Linked DNA regions of Macaca fascicularis. The protein of the gene in region 2 interacts with the protein of the main gene of each other region in a pairwise test. Links are inferred from orthologs where the notes say so. Each region holds a gene or a part of one and is shown on either strand. Other genes may lie near its edges.

Region 1 (3,658 bases), on a different chromosome or scaffold from region 2:
AGATTTCTAAGATTACATACTCATATGGTATGTATTTTCATACATATACACACACACACACACAAACATGTTGAGAGATATATAAATATATCACACAAAAATAAGACTTCCTTTAAAAAATTAACAGGGTATGAGCATCTTTCCATATTTATGAAGATATTTCTGCAACTTTATTTTTAGTGCATCAACTTAGATATACTTAGAGTCCAGTTACACATAAAAATAATGTCATGAATAAGTGAGGCAACTTTTGACAATTTAGATCTAATTCAAACAATTTTGATTTTAGACATCAAGGAAGAGTATAAATAGTTGACTTGTGAACAACATGAGACTGTATGGGTCCACTTAATATGTGGATTTTTTTCAATAACAAAGTCTGCCCTCCACATTGGCCCTCCACATTCTGCATCCACAAGGAAACATAGATGGAAAATAACATGGTATTGTCAGAGTGTAAAACTGGTATATGGAGGCCAGCTTTTCATATCAGCAGGTTCCACAGGACCAACTGCAGGACTTGAATATGCACGGCTTTTGGCATCTACAAGTTGTTCTGAGACACTCCCCCCGCAAATACCAAGGCATGACTGTATATTTTTCCCTAACTGAATGAGTTAGATAATTATTCTCAAGCCTGTACTTCAGGTAAACTGCTTAGCAATAAGGGGTTGATGTATTTCACTGTTAAATATATCAAGAGCTTTACAAAAGGAAGATATGTCTGGCAACTGTCTGGTTATTTTGACCCATGTAACTCTGTGATGTTGACTTTCATTAACATTTCAGGGATGATTATTTAAAAATATGAGTCTTAACTTGTTTTTCAGACTTTCAAAAAGGATTATCAGTATCCCGAATCACTTGACGTATTCTCCAATGTTGGATGTGCACTGTCTATTACTGGTCTGGCTCTCACAATTGTATTTCAGATTGTCACCAGGTAAGAGCAGAAGCAGGCTCTTTTCAGAAAAGAAATTGCTATCTTGATATAATTTACTTTGAAAATTCTCATAAGAATGTAGTGTCTTTGAACTAGACGAGAACTCAGAGATGTACTTATTTTATAGAGGAGGACATTCAGGCCTGGAAAGGCTAAGAAATACACACAAATAAATATATAATTACAAATTGTGGCAAGTGCCTTGAAAGAAAATTATATGCCACTTATTTACAAGTTTGTCATGTAAAATTAATGTGGTCCTGCAGCTCATGAATGCTATAATTCCTTAGTGTTGAATAGAACCATGCCTATCAATTTGTATTTGTAAAGGAAAGAGACATTGCAAATAGCATTTTTTTAAAAAAGTAATTTAAAAAATATACCGAGCTTTCAAATGGTGAAATGTTTTCCAAAAATATATGGTTTTCAAATGATGAAAGTTTTTGAATCCCATACCTTAAAGTCTAATTTTAAATAATGACCTATAAACAAATACTTCTCTCCACCTTGACCCCTTCATTTGAGGTCCAATTTTGTATCCCATTCATTAGGTTTTGTCACATGCTACATTTTTTAACTGCCTGTGGTCTTTTAGAAGCTCGTTCATTTATTAATTTACTCTGTTTACTGTGTGTTTCCTCTGTCAACTCCACATTTCATGTTTGTTTGGTCTTTCATGACACTGAAATTTTTCAAGCATCCAGGCCATTTACTTTGAAAAATGTTCCACAGTGAAGATTTGTCTGAAATTTTCTTCATGAAGAGATGCAGGTTAATTATTTTTGGTGGGAATACTGCAATCATGGATTTTTTTTTAGTGTGACACGACAAGAAATGCATATCAGTGTGTCTCATTGTTGTAGGCTGTAAGTTTGATTCCTCGTTTAAAGTGATGTCTGACAGATTTCCACATTTTTTCCCTGTGTAAATAATAGGTGACTCATGGGGTGCCACTTTGAGGCTGCATGATATCCTGTTTCCCAAAAATCTTTTACTTAATGATCTTGTTACTCATCCTTACTGGAACAAATTATTACATTAGTAGTTGAAAAATAGTGATCCTCTAGTCTATCATTCTTTCTATATTTGTTTGCTATACTCTTTTGCAAAAAGCATACTTCCCAGTGTAGCCAGAGGGAGCCACTTCATGTTGTTTTGTCATGTCTCAGTCTTTAGTCACTTCCTTATTTCAATCACAGCAAAATGATCATCTTTCACTTTCTGTGCCTCATACCTGAACCAGCCATTTCTCCGAAGAGCCAGAATTGTTTTCGATTCCTTTTTTTCCCCCTTTTCACATTAAATGAGTCTTTTGCCATTCATTTAAAAGTTTTACAGTGAGTGCTTATGTTGTAAGGAGCTGAATACAAACCTATGAACAGACAGATAATCTCCTATCTCTCATGAAATATACACTTTTTGGGGGGAGAGGTAAGACATTATAAAAATATATACACAACTGAATATACAGTTACAAATGGTGGTAAGTGCCTTGAAGGAAAATTACATACCATGTAATTACATGTTTGTCATGTAAAATTAAATGCCTATTAAATTTGTCTCATTATTTGTATTTCTACCATCACCAGAGTTGTATTGACGATTATTTGGCCCCATAAGTATGAGTCATAGTTGCTGCATAACCAGTTTCTTTGCCCAAACCTCACTCTTTTCATTTGTCATCAGATTTCTTTACTCCTTCATCAATACATTTTCTAGCACAATTATGCAACCATAGATGGCACTAAAATTCATCAGGAAACAAAAATAAAAATAAACGCCAGGCATGGAGGTTCACACCTGTAATTCTAGCACTTTGGGAGGCCAAGGCAGGAGGGATTGCTTGAGCCCAGGAGTTTGAGACCAGCCTGGGCAATACAGCAAGATCACATCTCAAACAAGGCAATACAGCAAGATCACATCTCAAACAAATTTTTTCAAAAAAGAGAAAAAACAAAACAAAAATAAAGACAAAATTTTATTGACTTTAAAATCCTGAATTATAAAATTTTCTTTGTTCTTGGACAGGTTCCCATATAATAATAATGCACAGAATACAGATAGTCCCCTACTGACCATGGTTCAACTTACGATTTTTCAGCTTTAAGATGGTGCAAAAGTGATAGCATTCAGGACGTTTCTTGATTTATGATAGGGTTATGTCCCAATAAACCCATTGTAAACTGAAAATATGGTAAGTTGAAATGATGTTTTTAGTTTTCAATGGATTTATTGGGATGCAATCTCATTGTAAGTTGAGGAGCATCTATACAGTAATAATGTATAAGAAAGGCCAGGCTATTTGAAAATCACCTCTTCTTCCTGTGGATTATAATTGATAAAATTAGATAAAAACTAGAATCTAATCTTACTTTTATATAAAAAGATTCTTTTGAGTACTTTTTGCAGTTCTGGTCATTAAACCTCTCAATAGATTTAGTGAAATTTTGAATTGTCCCGAAATCTCAACTAAAATGTCAAGCAGACGGACTGAGTGCTGTTTGAATGAAAGCTTTTTTATTCAGTGTGGGAATCCAAAGATCAAGAGGGGTCATGATGAAACATCATAAAAACATAAAGAATATATAATGGGCAAATAGACTTCATCAAATTATGAGTTATTAAGAATAAAGAGGTACTTGAAGGTTAGAACTTAGGCATAATAATAAACCTGGGAAATGGTATTCCAAGAGGTCTTGCAGTCTGAAAAATCCA
Region 2 (3,658 bases):
GTTAGGATAGAATTTGACCACACTGAAAATCATTTTGAAATGAGTTCTAACTACTATTAAGGAAAATAATAGGAAAATGTATTGGCAGGGTAAGATATATCTGAAGCAGTGTTTTAATAGTAGAGGTGGCTATTATTAGATTGGGGTGGAAGAGATTGGGGTGAAGAACAAAAAAGCTGGCAAGAGAAAAACTCAGAGAAAGAATTGAAGTATGCTTCTTTAATTTAAACCTTTCTTAACTGGGAAGCTTGAAGAAAAATGGAAGAATCTGCCGACAGGTCAAATACATACTGTTGTTGATTAGAACCTCATTATAAATTTTCATTTTTAAATAGATTTTACATGGATTTAGGCATAGTAATCAAATCACATCCCCTTCATAAGAAGAACAAGTTTTGCCCTTTGAGCAAACAATCTGTTTATACTTAATATAAATTTGGCAGCTGGGATGGTGTGTTAGGTGTGCAGCCTCTGATAAATCTTATAAAATGAGTATTGTGGAATGCCATAAAGTTGATTTTGTAAATGTCTTTGTTAGCAGTTTATAGCTGAAAAAGCAGATTTTTTCTAAAATTATTTTAAAGCAAGTAAAAATTTAATTAAAATGAAAAAACTTGTTACTCTAATACTGCTACTATGTGTGGTGACATAAATGCTGTTAGAGTGAAGGATGTTGGGGTACTTTAGACCACAGGCTGAAGAATATGTAGATGCTGTCATAGATATTTATCTCCAGGCCTTCAACACTAACTTCAAATGGTTCAGTGTTGGTTAGGATTAAGATTTTGGGGCTCATAGTCTTCAGAGCATGCTAATTTTTACTGTGATGTTGAATCACGTGGATTAAAGCAAACAGCATTACTAAGATGATAATAGAAGTTAGCTTTTTTGGCATGTTTTTTCTTAGGTAGTTTCTAATTTTATTGGAATGATTGCAATAATATCCCCCTACGCCCCAGAACCTTATTTGAATTGCAGAACCAGAGCATGGAAAATGACCTTCATATTTGGATTTTGTTGACGTCAGTCATTCAGCATACTTGGATTGAATAACTACTCTTGACCAAAGTGCTGGTTTTAGGGGTAAATACAAAGAGAGATGGCTCTTGCTTTCCCAGCCTTTGAAGTGTTATAGGAAAGAACTTGAACAATAATTATTAAGATACATAATAAAGTGCTATGGTAGACGTACATGCCAGCGGTTATGGGAATAGAGGGAGTGGGCTCGTTATTTAGACTAATCTGACTGCTGGCATGTACTGATTTAGGCCTTTTAAAGAGTTTTTCATAAACAAAGATGTAGAATTTATGTTTTTGTTTGTTTAAAACCTGTAAGAAGATTTGGTAAAAAAAATCTCAATATCTTTGTAATACAGAATGACATGGAACCTAGCAAAACCGTTCCACTGAATGCATCTAAACAAGATGGACCTATGCCAAAACCACACAGTGTTTCACTTAATGATACTGAAACAAGGAAACTAATGGAAGAGTGTAAAAGACTTCAGGGAGAAATGATGAAGCTGTCAGAAGAAAATCGACACCTGAGAGTAAGTTCTGTTGGTTGAAAATAAGTTGATTTAAATGAAGGTATAGGACATGTGAGTGTTATTAGGCCATTTTAGCAATTAGTTTTTAAATTTATCCTTGGTCAGTTCTTTCTTGTTTTCCCCAATTTGATTATGTCCTGACCTTTGCTCCCCACCCTACTCCTCTCTTAAAAGTCTTCCTGTGGTTTCTCATTGCCACAAGTTCCTTACCTTAGCACACATTCTAATCATTTGTGATCTGGCCTGCAGCATTGCCAGCTTCAGCTCTTGTTTCTCCTGTCCTTCCCATTTTGTGCCCCAGTCACACTGAACTAGGATTGTGTTGTCCCACATCATAGCCATTAGTCACCTAGGACTGTTGAGCGCTTGAAATGGGATTTGTTCAAATTGAGCTGTGCTGTTGAGTGTAAAATACTGATGTTGAAGAGTTAGTACAGAAAAAGGTAAATTTTTCTTTTTTTAATGGTTACATACTGAAATAGTAGTTTGGGTATATTGGGTTGAATTGAATATATTAAAATGAATTTTACACATTTCTTTTTACTTTTTAAATGTACTATTGGAAAATTTAACGTTACATATGGGGTCACATTTGAAGCTCACATATTGGCGTGGGACAGCGTTGGGCTGGAGTATGCTGGAGAAGCATCTGTTTATCACCCCTCTTTCGCTTTAGTATCAGCTCTTCACTGTGACTGGAAAGGCTCAGAACCCTGTCCCTCCCGACACAGCACATACACATATTAATGTCTTGCTACTATATTCTTGTTGATTTTTCAGTATAGCGTTTGCTGGGACCCTCTCCAAAAGAAAAAAAAATCGATTTGTCCTGTCTGCTTTGTGCCACCACTATGCCGATTGCATTCTACTGCTCTTACTTGTTAGAGGCCTTTCTCCCTCTAGTGGGCAGTAATTTCCTTGGGGACAGGGGCAGTGTTTGATTTCTCTCTGCATTCACCGTACATGCGTGTAGTAGTCATATATTTGATTGAATAAATGGATGGTGAAGGAGGACCGATTTGAATATGTGTGAAATTTATGAATAATACTTGTCTTTGACAAGTAATTGTTTCAAGACCTGAATTCCTATATGTTGCTCTTTAGGCTTTGTCTGAAGCTCTTTGCAGCAACGTAGATGATACAAAAATATATGTAACTAAAATAAGCTAAATGATGGGAGTTATTTGATTATTCCTTTTGTTAGGTGTATATAGGAACTGCACTCTGAACACTGTATCTTAAGTCGATCTGTGAACTCCTTTGCTGAAATGCTTTTTAAAGTGAATTTTTGTGTCTCTTCATGTTTGATACTTCATAGTACCCCCTTGAGGGGTACCCCTCTGCTTCCAAGTGCTTGTCTGGATAGCGGGAAGAATATCTTTATTTCACACCTACACACCATGGATCTTTTAAAGGATTTTGTTGGTTACTTTTACTTCATCTGCCATGACTTCCATAGTTCTGTTCTTTGATAAAGATGTGCTCCTTAGGGTGCTCAATAGCTTTCTTTCAAAAGCCACTGTTTACCTCTGGCATGGAGGGGAGAGTGTAAACAGTAGGAGTGACAGGTGGGGCAGGTCTGGAAAATAGGAAGAATGAACCAGGGAAGTGAGAGAGACTTTATTCCTGGTTTCTGCTCTTTGTATGCTAATGTTCTGTATGAGATTTTATTTGAGAGATGATTCTGCTGTTGGAAAAGTAAAACAAAAAAGCTGTGCTGGGCACGGTGGCTCACACCTGTAATCCCAGCACTTTGGGAGGCCGAGGTGTGTGGATCACCTGAGGTCAGGAGTTCGAAACCAGCCTGGCCAACGTGGTGAAACCCCTGTCTCTATTAAAAGTACAAAAATTATCTGGGTGTGGTGGCGGGTGCCTGCAATCCCAGCTACTTGGGAGGCTGAGGCAGGAGAATCACTTGAACCTGGGAGGCAGAGGTTGCAGTGAGCGAGATCACACTGTTGCACTCCAGCCTGGGCAATAAGAGCAAATCTCAAAAAAACAAAAAAAATAAAACAAAAACCTTGGAGACCCACTGGCTTACAGAATTTCAGACCCTTTAGCATTTTATACACAGGCCCATCATAATTTTTTGCCATGTTAACTTTCTT

The links.
Region 1: the proteins of VAPA (region 2) and ADGRG7 interact in binary tests that used the Homo sapiens proteins (3 or more experiments, as listed by UniProt). The two-hybrid records come from large-scale screens. The link is inferred for Macaca fascicularis from reciprocal best matches to the Homo sapiens genes VAPA and ADGRG7.

What each region holds. Positions count from the first base shown.
Region 1 is NC_088376.1:182,389,051-182,392,708, reverse strand, and holds part of ADGRG7 (adhesion G-protein coupled receptor G7), read left to right. Parts: intron 1-830; coding exon 831-943; intron 944-3,658. UniProt on the Homo sapiens protein: Orphan receptor.
Region 2 is NC_088392.1:78,298,220-78,301,877, forward strand, and holds part of VAPA (vesicle-associated membrane protein-associated protein A), read left to right. Parts: intron 1-1,376; coding exon 1,377-1,550; intron 1,551-3,658. UniProt on the Homo sapiens protein: Endoplasmic reticulum (ER)-anchored protein that mediates the formation of contact sites between the ER and endosomes via interaction with FFAT motif-containing proteins such as STARD3 or WDR44.